Linked DNA regions of Drosophila melanogaster. The protein of the gene in region 3 interacts with the protein of the main gene of each other region in a biochemical or structural test. Each region holds a gene or a part of one and is shown on either strand. Other genes may lie near its edges. The genes, in order: htl, btl and RasGAP1.

The links.
Region 1: the proteins of RasGAP1 (region 3) and htl form a complex in vitro, tested with the Drosophila melanogaster proteins (one study listed by BioGRID).
Region 2: the proteins of RasGAP1 (region 3) and btl form a complex in vitro, tested with the Drosophila melanogaster proteins (one study listed by BioGRID).

Annotation. Positions count from the first base shown.
Region 1 is NT_033777.3:18,049,873-18,054,903, forward strand, and holds the start of htl (heartless), read right to left. Parts: upstream 3,113-5,031; 5' UTR 2,630-3,112; intron 1-2,629. UniProt on the Drosophila melanogaster protein: May be required for patterning of muscle precursor cells. May be essential for generation of mesodermal and endodermal layers, invaginations of various types of cells and CNS formation.
Region 2 is NT_037436.4:14,074,126-14,081,900, reverse strand, and holds the start of btl (breathless), read right to left. Parts: upstream 6,088-7,775; intron 6,026-6,087; coding exon of another isoform or gene 5,956-6,025; 5' UTR 5,853-5,955; exon of another isoform or gene 5,778-5,852; intron 4,837-5,777; exon of another isoform or gene 4,774-4,836; intron 2,447-4,773; 5' UTR 2,290-2,446; coding exon 1-2,289. Other genes in the region: Pex1 (peroxin 1), read right to left, coding at 5,956-6,025, 6,088-6,191, 6,442-7,065, 7,128-7,324, 7,383-7,775. UniProt on the Drosophila melanogaster protein: May be required for patterning of muscle precursor cells: generation of mesodermal and endodermal layers, invaginations of various types of cells, and CNS formation.
Region 3 is NT_037436.4:9,852,171-9,857,069, forward strand, and holds the start of RasGAP1 (Ras GTPase activating protein 1), read right to left. Parts: upstream 3,116-4,899; 5' UTR 2,643-3,115; coding exon 2,495-2,642; intron 1-2,494. UniProt on the Drosophila melanogaster protein: Inhibitory regulator of the Ras-cyclic AMP pathway. May function as a negative regulator of Ras85D/Ras1 in the sev signaling pathway. Acts cell autonomously in cone cell precursors as a negative regulator of R7 photoreceptor cell determination.

The DNA.
Region 1 (5,031 bases), on a different chromosome or scaffold from region 3:
CGAGTAAAGTCGAGTTGCCAAATTGCCAGGTATGCTATAGTCAATAAATTGACAAGCTCGCTTTTTCATTCACATTGCGGTTCTGTTCTGTTTGGATGGTCGTTGCCTTTAGCGTCCCGCATCTTTTCGCTTTCAACGGCAGCCTTAATTTTCCACACATGCCAGCCCCGTCTGGCTTTGTATCTCAGTATCGGCGGTATCTCTCAGTTTGCACTGGGTATTACTCTCATCTTTAATTAAAACAGACACAGTTTCTCTCCGCGTTCTGGGTCTGATCTTTCCAGTCCGCATTCAACATTCAGCCCACATCTGGCGGACAAAAAAAAATTAAAGAAATTAAAAGCAACAAAAATAACGGCCGGCGGAGAAGACTACTGTGTTCAGTTGTCTCTGTTCTCCCGCCCCCGTCGCCACGCCCACAGTCAGAGTCAGAGCAGAGACAAGGGCAAATATTGTTTCGGCTTGCATTTGTTGCTCTATTGTTGACTGCAACATGTGGGCACATCATCAGCATCGAACATACACGAATGTACATATACGTATGTCTACCTAAGATCGTGCCACATGTGTTGCACAGACATTGTCGTCGATTCTCGAGGGGAAGTAGCGACTCCAGCGTCTAAATGATGGGGTTATCCGAAATGTTGACTTCCAGGAAGGCATCCGCCAAATCGGAAACTGCCAAAAATTGTATATATGTTTGGTATTCTATCTCCACCCTCCGACCTTCACCTCCATCGATAATGAGCGCGCAATTTTAGTATATGTATGTATTTCCTGTGCCGTCCAAAATCGCCCGATTTATAAACAAACACGTTCCGGAAAGTATTTGCAAAGTATACAAACATTGCACGGTATATGTACATTTCCCATCGAATTGAAATCGCCGGTCACTTGGCGCATCCATTTCAATCGCACGGGTTGACCCGCAATTGACGCACTTGGCGGTTGCCCCGCTGCCGCTCAGTGTATCCGATACCAAGTCGAGACCGGCACGAGTCTGTTATTTCGCACGGTTCGTCGGCAGGTTCCACCAGCCATCAGCCACCCAATGCCAATCCCATCCAGCCATCCATCCATCCATCCATCCCCACCCGTTCATCTAGTATATACCATTCAGTACGTGACGGCGAGAAGGTTGCATCCCATGGGGTAAACGAAAAGAAGCAGATGGAGCGAAAGGTCGATTGTGGCAAGTCGACTTTATCAAAAACGCGAAGCTACGTTAAATTATCACAAAGTATATGAGTAGTGAACTATTGATTCGATTTACATTTCAGAAATATAAAGCACGCAGCGATTTATATAAAGAACGTTCAACAGATTTAGTTGAAATAAATATGTGCTATTCTTAAATTGTTGCAAGCTTTACTTATATATTTGTAAATTTGCCATTTAGAGCTTTAAAATTTTATTAGTACTCACAAACATTTAGACAACAAAATCCATTATAAAAGTGCTGTAGCATTGATAAGCTTAAGCTATAATATATTATAATACCAAAAAATAACATTATTACTTTATTGTTGACATAAATCTATTTCTAAATCGAAATCTTTATTTGGTAAACACTGATTTTATGATAAACTCTCATGAAAACATTTAATATTATATAGCAAGCATATATTCTCGTGACATTTGTACTTTAACATCATAAAGATCAAAGGATCATACCGAAAGTCTGCGTGGATCCCACCTGAGATGATATGGGAACAATACCGGGAACTGGCCGCACAATTAGCTAAACAAACCTAACCTTAATTATCATTCATAAATAAATTGCAGAGAAGGGAGGCGAAAAGTAAGAAGCGTCTTCGGTTGTCGGCCAGCAAATTGAGTGATTGCCAAAGGCAACAAAACAGAAGCCGAATCACCTAGAAGATGGCATCGTAAAGCTAACCGACCGACAAAACAGATACCCGATAAATATATATATATACATATATATACACACAGATAGCTATATCTTTAGCTATATACTCACTCAGATATAGAGCAAGTCGGACAAAGAGCAGACAAGTTGAAATGTTTGTTTACGCGGCTAGAAAATATTGCATGTTCCTATACCGTCTACATTCTAGAATCTAGACTCTAGATGATACGATATATGCTATATGCTGTTGGTTAATAAACAAAATCCCATTCTAAGGGAGCGTTGGAATATAACAGAATTATGAGTTTGAAATATTTTCCCGAGCTCTGGGGCATCGGTTGGCTTGTAAAAGCAAATAAATAAATATAAATTAGAATGGGAACCCTGTGGAAAAGTGCTTTCAATTTGAGCATGTACCATAGCAGAACCGAATGGAATAAATAAAAAATAAAAAAAACAGATACTATGGGGAGCCCACAACTGTCCATATTCACTGTATTATTATGGGGTAGCCAGAGAATAGATAATTGAACGATTGACTACACACACACACAGCGGGATAAACGACACAAATTGCTTTGGAACCGAACCACTGCACATTTTACACTTTTTGGCCTTTGGGTTAAAAAGTCAAATTGCTGTGCGCGGTCAATCAAAAAGTGGATCAAACAAATGATTTGCGCAACTACGCAAAAAAAACCAAAAACAAAATAAACTAAATTAAACGATGCACGGTGTGTATTTTTAAAGACTTACCTCACAAAGTGCGTTGCTCCACGAACAAAAAAAAAAAAATGCCAAAAAGCTTCTTGCCAAATATCCACCAAAGTGTCTCTGCGTTGGAATTTCTCCTTGCCTTCGTCTAAATTGTAAGTCTTTCACTAAAAACACAATTGGGAAAGTTCACAGAATTCGAGAATGTTTCCACTTAAAATTCCAGAAATGTTTTAGTACGCATTTATATGGCACTTAGGCACTTAAACAGAACCAGAAACCGTTGCACACTTGACTCTGTTTTGTTTCTTTCCATCCACAAAATGTGTGCGTTTTCACCAAGAGGCATTACTAATAATTATTAGTATAATTATATTATATGGCGTTATTACGCGTTCAATCGATCGATCGTTCGCTCTAATTTTCGACGATTTTTCACCGATTTTCCAACGATTTTCCAACCGATTTTCCAACGATTTTCCTCCGATTTCGCCTACTGTAACGGCACGCAGTCCGATCGCAACTGAGTCAAAAAAAAGCAAGCGAACCGAACAGAACCGAGCCAGCTCTGCGAAATAAATCTCTTCAATTAAATGAGGGAACAAATGAAACGAATTCACATTTCCCCCATCAACTTCAACATGCTGGAGAACACATCTCTGCAATGTATTTTTGCGGCAGGCGCGTAAACAAATACAGAAAACACACAAAATTGAACGGAACGCCAGCCACACATTGTATAATCCGCAGCCAAAGAGAGGAAGGGTCGAAAAAGCGAGGGGTTGGGTATGCGGTATATGTATGTATGGTACTATATGGTATAGGGGCCCCTATACCCTATATATGGGGGACCCACACACACACACACACAAGTGTGTAGCTGAGTGGCGGCCTTCCCTTGGAAAGTGAAATGTAATTGAGTGCACAGACCGCACTCGTTCTAAAATTCGTTCAATTGAGTCGAATGGAATATCTCAAAGATATTCTAACGCACAATATGTTGCATAGTTTCGAGCGCAGCGAGGAAATTCATGAATTTCATTATGAGGGTGCAAAGAAGATGGGTAGTTGTCAAAAAGATTCCTTATATTCAGATCAATTATTTATGTAGTTATAATTGGTTTGATGGATCATGCTTTATTAAAAAGAATAGCTAACTTATCTTAGTCAGAATAGATCAGTCACTTGAATTTAATTATTATTATTTTTTAAAAAGATTTATGGCCTATGAGGGCCTAAGATTCTACTGACAAATTCTTTGCGCATTTCTTTGCGCTTCGTTTGAGGCGGAAAATGCGGAATGAGATTCATTAGCCAACACAATAGCTCGCTAAGTAAGTTAGCAGTTATTAATTATGAGCTACTTATAGCCAATGTCAAATGGCCAACAGACACATAAGAACCAGTAGCCAAGTGGCGATGGAAGAAAGCCCCTCTAATGAATGACACTCGTGGTGAAAAGGCCATCAAAGCACACACGCTGTGCGCCAAAGACAATGGCATCGTTTAGCGTTTGTCTCTATGGAGACACCAAAAATAACGAAAAGGGTTAGCCAAACAATGGACAATGACGCAGGGGGGATTTTGGCCGAAAATCGAAAACAATTAACGATTATTGACCATCAATTGTGGCCGACGGGACCCGTTCAGTGCCAAATGGCGTTACGCCTGACTGATTAATTGATGCTCCACGGCGGAATTGGGAGGGAGGATCCCCATGAGTGGTTAGCATAGTTTCAACAGTTAACAACCTCGTAAAGCCGCAGAGAGACCGGGGAAAGCACGGGTTAAAGACGGCCACCGATCAGTGTGTATGGTCATAATACTTAAATTTTATGCACTCCTGGGCAAGCCTCCTGGCTCCAACCTGGCTCCAAACCGGGCTCCTCTTGGCTACCCAAAAGTGCTTCTCCTCGAGGCTGCCGATCGCAGCTTCAGCTTCCGTATGGCTTTTCAATTTGGCCAGAACGAAACGCAAGTTGTTAGCGTTTCGAGCATAGAAATAAATATTGGGAAATTGGCTCAAAGTCTGGTTGGTCGAGCCTTTGGCCATTTGGCTCTGGGAATCTGCGAATGGGAAATGAAAAATCGGGAACGGTAACAGGCTTTTGGAGACACGATCTTCGAGTTGGGCGACACGATCTGCAGCCATCTCGCAGATCGCAGCTCGTCGAGATCTCGTGCAGAGCAGCCAAACAGCATAAAGTTAATTGCTAATATGATTAATTGCACATTAACATGAATTTTTATAGCCAATTATATGCGAAATATGCCAATGAGAAACGCTTTCGACCAGCGGATTAAACAACCAAAAAATAAGTTAACTGCTAGACTTATTCAGTTGCAATAGATAAACAGATGGGCTATTGAAGCTGTCAATGAAAATAAGGAAGAGCAATATATTAACTTTTGCTAGGTGACTTGGGAAATCAATTAAATTTTGG
Region 2 (7,775 bases), 4.2 Mb from region 3:
CACCAAACTGGCCATGTCCGTATCCGTGTGCTCCTCCTTGACCATCTTGACGGCCACGATGGTTTCGGCCAGTTGTGGACTCCTGGGAAGCCCCTCCGCCTCCGCCATCACTACGCGTCCAAAGGCGCCCTCACCCAAAATGGAGCCCAAGCTAAGCTGCTGCCTGGGAATCTCCCAGTTTGAGTCCAGCGGGAACTCATACTCATTAAAGCCCTGGGCGGGATCAGTACCGCCAGTTCCCGTTGTGGAAACGGTTGTTCTCTGCTTCTCGATCCTTATCACTGGCATCTGAAGATCGCCGGAGCTGCAGCCACTTCCTTCTTCTCCACCCGGTCGGTATATGATCACCTTTTTAGTCCACTGATGAACCGTTTCGATGCGGAGCTTCAGGAGCTTCTCCCTCCTCAGCCGACGCAGCATGAACGTTATGAAAGCACTGCCCAAAAGGAACAAAGCCACTATCGTAATAGCGGCCAAGGTGAATCCGAGAGGATGGGCGTGCAGCAGGGCGTAGATCTCCAAAGGTGGCAGAGGACTCACTACCCTAAGGTACACACTGGAGTTACTCCTTCCCAGACCACTTGAGGCCAAACAGGTGTACCAGCCCTCCTGGTCAAAGGTCACATTACGAAGCGTTAAAACTACGGAGTCATTCGTCACGGTGAAGTTGAGATTCTGGATTTCCACAGACTTAAGGCCGTCCAAGGAGGCATTCTTGAGGACAACCCTTTTCCAGCTGACTGTTGGATGCAGATCAGAGTAGACGGTGCACTTCATCACCAAGCTGCCATTGACTTTCACCGTCTGATTTTGCGGCACCACGATTATTGGTGCGGATCTCGTGCGATCGTTTATTTGGACACTGAAGTCAAACTGGATGCAGCCCCACGCATTGCACACCTTACAGTTGTATAGTCCAGAATCCTCGCTGGTGGCCTCCACGAAGCGGAGTGTCCAGTTCTTTTGCACATAGACGCCGAGTTCACGGTTTAGCGGCTTCTTGTCCTTCGTCCAGGTGATGTTCGCTTTGCCGTACACTGGACAGGCTAGATTGACAGTATTTCCCGATAATGAGTGCTGTAATCGTTTCAGCTCTTTTCTGAACACAGGTGGACCAACGCCGCCTGATGCTTCCGCTGCTGGATTTTCCACGTCGTCATCGTTGTCCTCTCCGGTGGATGCAGTGGGTATTGGGCTGGCCACGGTGGTAGTAGTGGTCGTGCGAACTGTGGTAGTATCTGAGGGACTGTAAAGATCCACATAGGAGGCGGCCACAGTGCGTCCAACCTGGTTCTCGGCTATGCATATGTACCATCCGCCATCCTCCATCAGGACATTTCCAAGACGAAGTACCTGCGGTTCATCCATTCGGGTAATCAATCGGGTAACATCCACAGGTAGCTGGGACTGCTCTCTTAAACGCTGCAAGAGGTCATCGATGTTGTCCGCATTCCCCTTATGTAGCCACGTGATCTTCGGCTCCAGGGCAGAGTCCTCAAGTAGGCATTCAATGCTCACATTGTCCCCGAGGGCAATGCTGGTATTGCGGGGATATCCGGGCTTTAGCATGGGCACCGTGTGCTTTCTGCTTATCACCTCCAATTGGGTCGGATTACTCCTTTGGCAGTCCTGTTCCACGCACAGCTCACAGTGATAGCTTCCAGCATCCTCCGGCTGCAGTTGCCCCACTGTTAATGACCACCTTTTAAGCTTAATGCGTCCACGTCCACCAAGGATTTGAGTATCATTGTGCAGCCAGGATATATTAACACCCTTTGCATCCGGATCCATGGGACTGCAGTTCAACTGAAAAAGGCCACCTGCGGTCCGTTGTACGGTTTTGGGTAGGGGTTGCAGCAACTTCAGGGATCGACTCTCATTCAGGGGCTGAAAAAAGAGATCTGACTCCGGGAGGGCCGGTGCATCTTCCAACTTGACAAAGCTGGCGATATCATTGCCAACTGGTTCCTTATGGCCAACAACAAGGGAAATATTGTACCATCTGTTCTGACTATCCAGGCAGCCGTAGTTTCCAGAATTTCCGGACTGTGCTCGTTCAAGTCGCAAAAGGGTAGCCCTCAGTTGAAACTTATCCTCATAGAACCATTTGGCCATGGGTCGGACGCACTGCAGCGTGATGTCCATGTCGGAGAGCAGATGGCGCTGGCGGGGACTGTTTTCCACAGTCACATCGATGTAGCAACGATGATGGCCATAATCGCATCCCAGGTCCGCAGCGGCAGAGACGATCGCAATGATCATCACCAGCGTGATCGGCACTTTTGCCATGATTCAAGTGGATTCTCTTGAGTTCAACAGCCACCAAGATCTCGTATCTGGATGGGCACGATCGTGTACATATGGGTTACAGTTGCGGTCGAAATAATATCACTTCCTGTGGGTATCTTCATTCGAGTTCCTCGATTTCAAATCGAGCGTTCTCCAGCTAAAGGAAAGGATTAAATATATGAATTACATGGCATTGATTGATATATTATACTTTAAAAATAACACTTTGGAATTTTGTTTAATTTAACTAAATTTAAGAAGTTATGAATGCAAATATTATTAGCTATTCGTTACTTGAATACCACTATTGTGCCACTATTCTTTTGACCGCAGCTGTATAAGTGGATCAATAAATATTGCCAAATCTCCGCTTCACTTTTTGCCCCTCCCTTAGTTCCCGATCTGTGTCATTTTATTTATTTATTATTATTGTTTAATATTTTATTGCCAACACGGCACACAGCCAAGTCAAGTCTGTCCGCACCGATATGCAAAAATCCAAAGGAGAAGCAACTGAAACAAACGAAAACTGTGTGCCCTGCCTTCGTAATGAGCTGGAAGACGTGGTCGAAGCCACCGAATTGCCGGACACACTCGTCGCCACCCACTACCGAAGGGGATCTCCATTATAACTTGTCTATATTCGACGTTCGCCAAATGCTTTTGTTGCTGCGGCCTGCGCTCCTCGATTTCCATTCAACTAAATGCCGAACAGTTAGAAAATCACTTAGCTATTTGTTGAAATCAGTTGTTACAGTGGTGTCACACTTTTCAGTTATTCCCCAAGTACTATACTTGCACTTACAAAACAAACAGACAAGGTGCTAGAGAATTGCAACAACAAATCGAGAAATACCTAAATGATTTGCCACAATCTGAAATAGCAACTAATTAACATTCAAATTCTCTGTGCAATATGAGCTCAGCATTTTAATCAATTAAAAGGTATATTTATAATAAAGTTATGCTTTAAACACTGAATAACACTGCTCGAAAATCCTAATAGCAGATAATTATTTCAAAATTAATTTTTAGTATAATCACGTAAAGGGTATAGGACAGTGGGTATTCCATCTACTTGGGTTCGTCAAATGTTTGCCAAATAAAAATAAACAATTTTTAGTTCAATGATTAATGATGATAGGGTAAATTCCCAAACTTGTTGTCTGCGAATGTAAGCTTTGTACAAAATGTAAAGTTTTAAACGAAGTTTAGAAAATATTGATAATAATGGGGGCATAGCATAGTTCGACTATTTTTTCTATCAGAAAATTAAAATATTTTTAACTTTTATAAAATCGTTTTGACCACTGTGCTGTTTAATGAAAAGTATTTTATTGTTTGTAAGGCTTGGGACAACCGTTGCGATTGTCATTGTTGTTGTTAATATGGTGCTAGTGCTGCCAGTAATTGTTGTTGTTGTTTTAGCCGATATTGCCGCTAGCCGCTAGCCGTTTGACTTCAGGCCCGATTTATGTATGTATGCACACGCGTCGCAGGTTTTAATTTATTCAATTCCTTTTTTTCTCATTTGTTGCCAAATACGAGTCGATCGCTGTATTTGAAGTATGTATTATTGCTATTTTTATTTAATTTTTTTCTCAGTTTGTCATTCATTCAATATTATTCGATTCGATTTTAAGCCACAAGCGCACATGGCCAAAACCGTTTAGCTCACACCTTTTTATCTTGTGAATTATTATCGAGCGTATAAATCTAATGCATGAACGATTTGATATTTCAACTTGGTCAATCAGCTATATCGAGAATAGAATAAGTTCTTTATTTGGAACCCTGGGTATTAACTCCCCATTCAGTTTTCTTTCTGCAAACATTGACTTAATGTAAAAGGAATGTTTGGATCAAGACATAAATTATTCATTCATACAATTGACATCACTTTAATTTTATTTTCTTATTTATTTCATTGGTGTTTATTTAATTATGTATGAATCAGTTTTATCACGTTTCTTTGTCTCAATTAAAATTTTATTTTTAACATTTGGTTACTTTGCAGACTTTTTGTTTTTATTTATCTGTGGTTTATGATCTTTTGGCTGCACTTGGAAAGATTTGTATTTATTTTACTGCTGGAACAATTCACTCTTAAATTATTTTTTGCTTTATTTTGGTTTCACTGCTGCTTGTCAGTTCGCAGTGGGAACACAATTCTTTTCTGCCATGCCACAACCCCAAATCTTTGACCAAAAAAATCACGTTCTTTGTCTTTTATTTTCGAGGAGCCGGAGAAGGCAAATAAGATTGCAAAAAACATTGTCACTATGTTTATTCGGCTGTCAATCGCGGTTGGGGCTTGTATAAAAATCTTAAGACTCGGCAAGAGGGCAGCGGAAGGCGCCTTGCATTTCCGCTTCGTTGCCAACTTTTATTTCCCTTTACCAGGCATAAATGAAAAGAAATATGTGATGGGTAGCTGGTGTTGGGCGGGGGGGGGGGGGGGGGGTTCACTTCCGTTGCACTAACCGTAATCCGTAAAGTTTGTGGAAGGAGCCAACCGATTGGCTTGAATGTGCGCAAACAACTGAAAGTAACGATCGAAACGGAAGAAACTTTTACGCGGTACGATACGAACGATCCGAACGTGCCGATCGAACCGAACCGATCCAATACGATCCAATACGATACGAAACGAGTGGATATCTGTGGTTCCCTGCGATAATGTTTGCTAGGATCCTGGGCACAGGGTCTTCGGATGGGATGGTATGGGTTCGGACGGCTACCTGATCGAGGTGGTCTCCCTCCCGCATGTTGCAATTGTTTTCGCTGGTAGTTTTCCTGAGCGGTTTCCTTTCTTTTTATTGCTGGTTTGCTGCTGCTGCTTCTGCTAGGTTCTTGTTGGTTTTATTCTAAGCATGTTTGCGGTGGCTTCGACTCGTTGAAATTCTTTATTATCTGGCCTTCGGGTTCCCTCCCTGTTTGTTTGCTTGGCGGCTTAATTTATGCAAAAGAAAATGTGTCCATTGTCTTAGTGGTGTGCAGTACGTGCGCATGCGCGGTAATCGCATATCAATAAGGAAATATCCGTTACGTGACTGATATCCAAAAATCTCAGTTGCTGCATGTGGCATGGCAGCAGCTAGCTCCCGCATAGGCCAAAATCCAGATCCAGATGCCGGGCACGTAATCTACCCAAAAATAGTTAAATGCATTTTTGATGCACTTGTTAGGGGCTATGGGAACAAATGCGAAACAGTTGGGAAATACGAAAAGGAGGGACATACTATCCAAACTAGCTATCAAAAACTTGTTATAGCTAAACACAATTTCCGGTGAATTAATAACCAAACTCACCTGATGTCTTCATTTGTTAAGGAGCCACCCCTTAACAGCACTCATGTTTACCGAGGTCAGAATGCGAAAAGATATTAGTTCTTAAATTTGAACATCTCTTTCTCTTTTTTATACATGTATGTACATTATAATTAAAATATAATATTCTTTCAATTTAACACTCCGGAGTGGTATATGGATTTATACGAAGTAATCATAAAAGAAATTTGGTTTTTATTTTTCAACAAGAAAAATTATGAAATATGTACTACCTAAGACTTGCGTCTTCCAACAAAATGTTCCATTTTCCAGATGTACAAATATGCAAAAAACAATTTAAAATAATAATAATGCTAAGCTTATAAGTCTTTGTCTTTAAGCCAAGGTCGCACGCTTGGCTACAAACTCCCTAGAAGTCTTCTCCTTGTTGGTAAAGCGAGCATACCTACCAAGAGATAATTAAAAAGGTAAGAAGAACAGAAGAACAAAGAAGACATTGTTACGTACGTTCTGTGATATTTGGCCACATCGGAGGCGCTGAGCGAAGGACGAGTGGTTTGGAACGACTCAATCAGGTGCTTCTGCTTCAAGGAAATTTTCTTTGCCAGTTTCTGGGAAAGCAATAAGAAACAAATGGTATTTTATACTGTGGCCAGAGACTAAGAACTACGTGACTAATCATTGTTGCAGGAAGTAGCATAGATTTCACTTTTGATTTAAAAGACAAACACGTAAAGGAGTTTTTACATAGAAGTTACATTTGAAATCAGGATGAGAAACAATAAAACATGAAAGAAACGGTTGAAAGCTTGCATGACCCATAAAGCAGATTGTTTCCGGTGAAAATAATTCCCAGCTCACCTCGTGTCCGAATTGAGCTAGCGCCTCCTTAACCGCCGCCATGTTCGCCGAGGTCAGGATGCTCTGGATATCGGCGCCAGTGTAGTTTGCAGTTTTTCCCGCAAACCAATCGAAGTCCACGCACTCATCAAGGCTCAGTGTTGAACTGAGTGCTTCAAATATACGTACTCTGGCCGGAGCATCCGGCAAAGGACACTCCACCAAGCGATCAATGCGACCGGATCGAAGAAGCGCGGGATCTAGCAGTTCCGGTCTGGAGGTAGCTGCTATCACGGTAACTCCCTGCAGTCCTTCAACGCCATCCAGTTCTGTGAGCAACTGATTTACCACTCGATCGGTGACCCCCGTGGAATCGTGACCACGTTTCGGCGCCAAGCTGTCAAACTCGTCGAAGAAAAGCACACATGGTCGGGCACTGCGAGCTCGATTGAACAGGTTTCGAACATTTTCCTCGCTTTGACCAATATATTTGGCGAGCAACTCAGGACCCTTGACGGAAATGATGCGCAGGTTCCACGATGTGGCCAACTGAGAGACCAGATAGGTTTTACCTGTTCCTGGTGGCCCATATAGAAGTACTCCGGCCTGGTTGCGCAGTGGAGAGGCGTTAAAAATGGTTGGATACTGTAAGAAATTAATGATTTATTAAATTTTAGAAAAAAACATATATTTCGTTTAAAACTCACCCTTGATGGCCACATAAGGACCTCCTCCAGAACTCCCACAACTGACTCCAGGCCAGGCAACTCCTCGACGCGCATTTCATTGGCATCGGCATCATTGCCAGTTCTTTGATTGCTCTGAATGCCCTGCAGGCAGTACGAGTTTGTGTGCTCCAGGGACTCAATAAGCTGATCATTGGTCAGAAGAGGCTGGGTCTTGCCTGGAAAAAAGGGAATTTAACATGATAAAGTTGCTTACTAACACTACAAACTACTCACTTATGCGATAAGCATAAAATATTGCACGCTCCACGAACTGAACAAGATCACATTTCCGGTAGCCCTCCGTGAGGTTGGAGAACTTAACAAGATCCAGGTCCTTGGCCACATTGATATGGCTGCACAGCTCTCGAAGAATTATCTCTCGATCTGCTCGTTCCAAATTGGGCAGACGAGCAACAGTCTGGAAGACATGTCTTCCCCTTGGTGAGCTCAATCGCTTATTGAGGGTCTGCAACTCGTTGACGGTGGCGATTACTGCAATAGCGTTGTTGGTGGTATACTGAACAATCAACTGATACACAGTATCCGCCATGCGATTGTAGTACTCTCCATCCTGACTGGACTGCTCTCCAGCAGCGTGGGCCAGTACATCCAAGTTTTCTAGCACAA
Region 3 (4,899 bases):
GCGTGTGGTCCGCGGCGAATAGTGAGTAATAATTCCTCAGTTAAAATGTCATTGATATTCAAAGGGAGATCGATAGTGAGTCACACCCTCGTTATCATTCTAAATGAAATTTAGGTTATGCGCTAAACATTTTAATTAAGTGGAAAAGTATTACGCCAATTTTGGACGGACGTTTCGTGTAGAAATCGCAACGAGCAACAAAATGGAAATGGAAAGCCCCCACAACAATAGCAACAAAAGCGAAACTCCGTGTGTAATTGAAACTGAGCACGATGTGGAAGTATTATTATTAAGCATGCAAAGCATAATGAAGTGGAAATATGATACTTGGGAGAAGAATGCAGGGTGTACATACATATACATACATAGATATGTATAGCGCTTATAACGATATATAAATACGTACATATATCACGTTATAAAGCGGATGGGAAAGAAGCTGACTGTTGATGGGCAATAGAGGTGACACAGCAGCTAATGTGCTATAATGATGCGATAATCAATGATGATTATGGGAAATGAATAACTTTCATTCTTCAATCATTAGAAAACGTGATCGTGAGCCGTTTGAAATCGCATTTCTATATCTTTAGTAGAGTTTTTAAGAGGGAAAACTATAAATAAATAATAGTGAGTTCCCAATAATACTTCTATAAAACTAGAGAATATGGTTAAATTTCCTGCTCGATAGGTATTCCCGATCCATAACACAGCATTTTTTAACATTTTAGAGGCATTTTTGAATGGCAATTCCTTTAGATATGGTGTTGTGTAATAACTACTCAGGATTTTTAATGAGATCAGATATGTATCTTGGGAAGCTGTGGTCGATCCTTAACGGAATTTTTGCAGGTAAAGAGGGTAAACATGAACCACAAAGGCGAACGAATGAAATGGAGGTAAAAAGGTGACAGCTAATTTGCCATAACAACCCGATAATCGAAGGAAGTGCATAACTTTCGTTCTTCAATCAGCGCAGAAACGTGTTTTAATTCATTTTTAACCAATATTGTGCCATCTTCTTCGCAGAACCCAAAAGGGTTAAAGCAGCTGGAGAAAGAAGGGAATGTGGCAAAAGGAAGTGTCGAGAGGAGAGGAGGGTGCGAAGAGAAGATCCCGACAAAGACAGAGGCGCATGCGAAAACAATTGAAGCGTGCAAAAAGCAGTTGAAGAGGGGAAGACACGGAAAAAAAGAAGAGCAACTGAAAAAAGCAAGAGTTTTATGGCCGGAGAAAAAGAACACAAAACCGCAACACACGAAGGGAAACTCTGGGCGCTGGGAAACGGAAATCAAAAGCGGCAAGGCAACAATGTTGTTGCAGCTTTGCATATAATTTATGTTGAAAAAGCATAGCAAAAGCTGCTTATGAGTTGCGAGATTGAAAATGTGAGAAGCAGAAGAGGTAAAAATAAATGCGTGTGCAGGTGTGAAAATGAGATCACGGGAACTTTTGAACCCCCCCCCCCCCTCCCCGCACAGTACACACAGCCAGTGGTTATTCATAATTCTGTTTTACTTTTTATGTTTCAACAGGAAATGTAAAACCACCAAAAAACAACCGCAAGTTTATTTTTCGTCTATCTCTTGCAGTCTGCTTCGCTCTCGCTTCAGAATGAAGTGGATGGCAGAATGGAGAGGAAAAGTGAGAGAGCGTCATTCATTCATTTGACCTCTTGCCAATATATAGTAGGCCATTAATCGATGCTCTTTTCGCTTGTTGCTTTTGATAATCATTCATAAAACAGACACCTTCGTATTGAGAAAAGTACACCGAATTCGAAAATTCCATTCATAAAAAAACCCACACATTGTTGCTGGGATCTCTCTGCCGCTTGTGTGTGTGCGTTTGTCGCGTGTGTGTGAGCATGCGCTGGAGCGTCTCACAGACACATGCTTGATTTCCGATTCATTCACAAAAAGGGGCGCATTCAAAACTGCGGGGGGTGTGCTGGGCGATGAAGGAGGAAGAGCGGTTCTGGGGGTGGGTCAAGAAGCGAATGCCGTAACATTCAGCCTGGTCATCCATTACTTCTCAAACGGCAGCAACAACAAATGTATTGCACTGCTGCTGCACGAAAAAAAAACACACACACACAGGGAAAAAGGCAACAGAAACACACACGCACAGAGCAACACGCGAGTCAGAGCGGGACAGCATGCTTATACACTTGAACGCAATATGCATTTCTAGAACAAAAACACATTTGTTTTCTCAATTAATCGACTTTCTTTGCCTCAACTCGCACAAATTTCGGTTTGCCATTAGATTACACAACATTTTGGAAAACTTTTAGACATATTCTCCCGATTCTATGTTGTTTTCTGCTTGGAAGAGGCTCCGCGGGGCAAACGGCGACGCTGTCAAAATTCCAGCACACTTTGGAACATAAAAAACGCACGTTGCTGCGCGTATTTCACTCAACGTTCATGCCACGCATGTTCTTCGACATATTTTTGATGTTTTTGAACGATTTCGCACTCGATTTACATACCAATTTTCACTTTTAATTGCTCTTCAATGCGCACTTCGCGTGTATCGGCCATTTTGTTGTTGTTGCTGCTTGGCTCGACGGCGACGGGCGAGTTAATATTATTGTCGTCTCGCTCGTCGAACATATAGCGCTTCTTCTTCAGCAGCATTGTGCGCTTAAAGCAGCCAGCTTTTTGTCAGCTACCCACTGGGGAACTTGCAACACGCGATTGGAAATTTATCTAACTCCTTCACTCGATCTTCACGAAACTTTAATAACTCGAAATTATTTGTTTTTCTTTAACAGGTTTATTAGCCGGCTATTTGCATTTGAATTTCATCACTCGCTGCAGCGTTGCATTGTGCATTGAGCTGGTGTGACGGGAATATGAGTCGATTTGCCGCTCACGAAATGCACTTTCCCTGTTGCTTCAGGGCTCGACTGATTTTAGTATTTCGTTTTAACTACAAACTGTTTTTTGCACGCACTAGCAGACGTGGGATTATATTATCGAAGTATGGAAAGTAATTCGGTTGCTTGAATCAGAATCGCAAAAACTTGGTTCTCCGAGTTTATTTGCTTTGCGGGTTTACACGCATCCGCGAACAACCTTTCGAAGCGGAATCAGAACTAGAGTGACCGTAGCGAGACGGTTGTATGACTCCAACGAATTAGTGTGACCTTAGCACGGTGCCCCGAAAATACCACGGGAAACGCAAATGATTAATGTTTGCTTAATAATTTGTTTGAAGCAGATATGTTTTAAAATAATTTTTTTATTTTATTCAACAACGGCTTATGCTTATTAAGTTAAGCACAACAGTAAGGTTTTCATTAAAAATGTTTAAGTTTAATTTCGATATTTCACCAGTTCTGGCTATCGAATATATATCGTTAGCTCCAACAAACAGTTATATATTTTGTAATTTATTTAAAATTGATTATTATTAAACACTGAATTTTTGGTTTTTTTTATTTTAACTTGAGGTTTAATTGATGTTTTTATTAATTCCGATTGGTTTTTAGTTGCTTAACTTTGAAACACACTCCGAATTACGAACGTGTTGCAGGTCGGCCGAAATGGAACTGAATTAAAATTTCCAAGCGGCAAGTGTACACATGCACCTCCCAAAAATTTTGTGAATGAAAACGCACACACGCAGCAGCGGTCACCTACACTTAAACACACACACATGTTGCACCGGCGCCACCAACAGCGGAAACAACCGAAGATCGCCGGCAGAGAAAGTCGAGGCATATGCGACTTAAGAAGGGCGGTACAAAGCAATAAAAAACCCTGTTTTGTTTATGATCGATCGTTAAGGAATTATATCAGAAAGCAATGTTTATTTTTAAATTCAACCAGTTTAAGATTCATATCTATTCCAATAACCATGTATCAATAGCTAGTTATGCTTAGCAAAGTAAGTAAAAATCAAATGCCCGGCTGTTTATACCGTAGCGCACATTACGTGGGCGTTCTGGATCGCAGACAGTCCACAGGAACCCGAGGAACTACATAGTACACACATATGTACATTAAAAGTACACAAATATTCAGAAACAAGGCAGTGAAATGTGAAATTCACACGGCATCCGGACAGCAACGCCGCTTATGTTTTTCTTTACGCATATGTTGCTTCTGCTCCTTGCCTTGGAAACCACATGCATCACAACAACAACAAGAACAACAACTGGCAGGGAGAGATCAACAAGTGAGGCGGTGCATCTTATCACAACTGCCGCCAATAAGTGGAAGTGGTCGGGTCAACATTTCGGATGGTTGCTCGGCTGGGTTTCATTGTTTTCGTATGCCCTGCATTTGATCTAGTCACTTCAACTGCACTGAGCAAAATAATTGTATATAAAATAAATTATAATTGTAAATACTATAACACAGTTATAGTTTATAGTAATTGTAATAATTTAAAGAGACTTATCGAAAATTAACATTTCCCTTTAGTATATGCTTTTAAAGTGTATCATAATATTTGTTAAGAACGTTCACAATGCTATTTTCTGTGTAGCGTGCGTAACGACCATTTGAATATGTTGATCATTTCGCTCAACGAAACGTAACCGACGTGGGAAGAAGAGGAGACAGGGCTTTTCTTCTTTTTTTCCGTTTCCAGCTGTCCACTCGATTCCTCCTCCTCCTCCATTTGCCCCGCCCACAAAATTCGAAGCTAGGCGCAGATGTTATAAATATAGTATTTTGTGGCATTTCCATTCGTATGAATGGGTCTACGAGTTTCGGTTTCAGGTTTTTGGGCCTGTTTATAAACCCACTCCTCCCATATTTTCTCATATTTATGTCCGGAAAAGTGTTTTGGTCATTTGTCTAGCTTCCGTTATTATTTCGTTATGAATGAAAAACCCATTTGGACCGGGTTTTTTGATCTCCCTAATTTACAACATTTATTTAG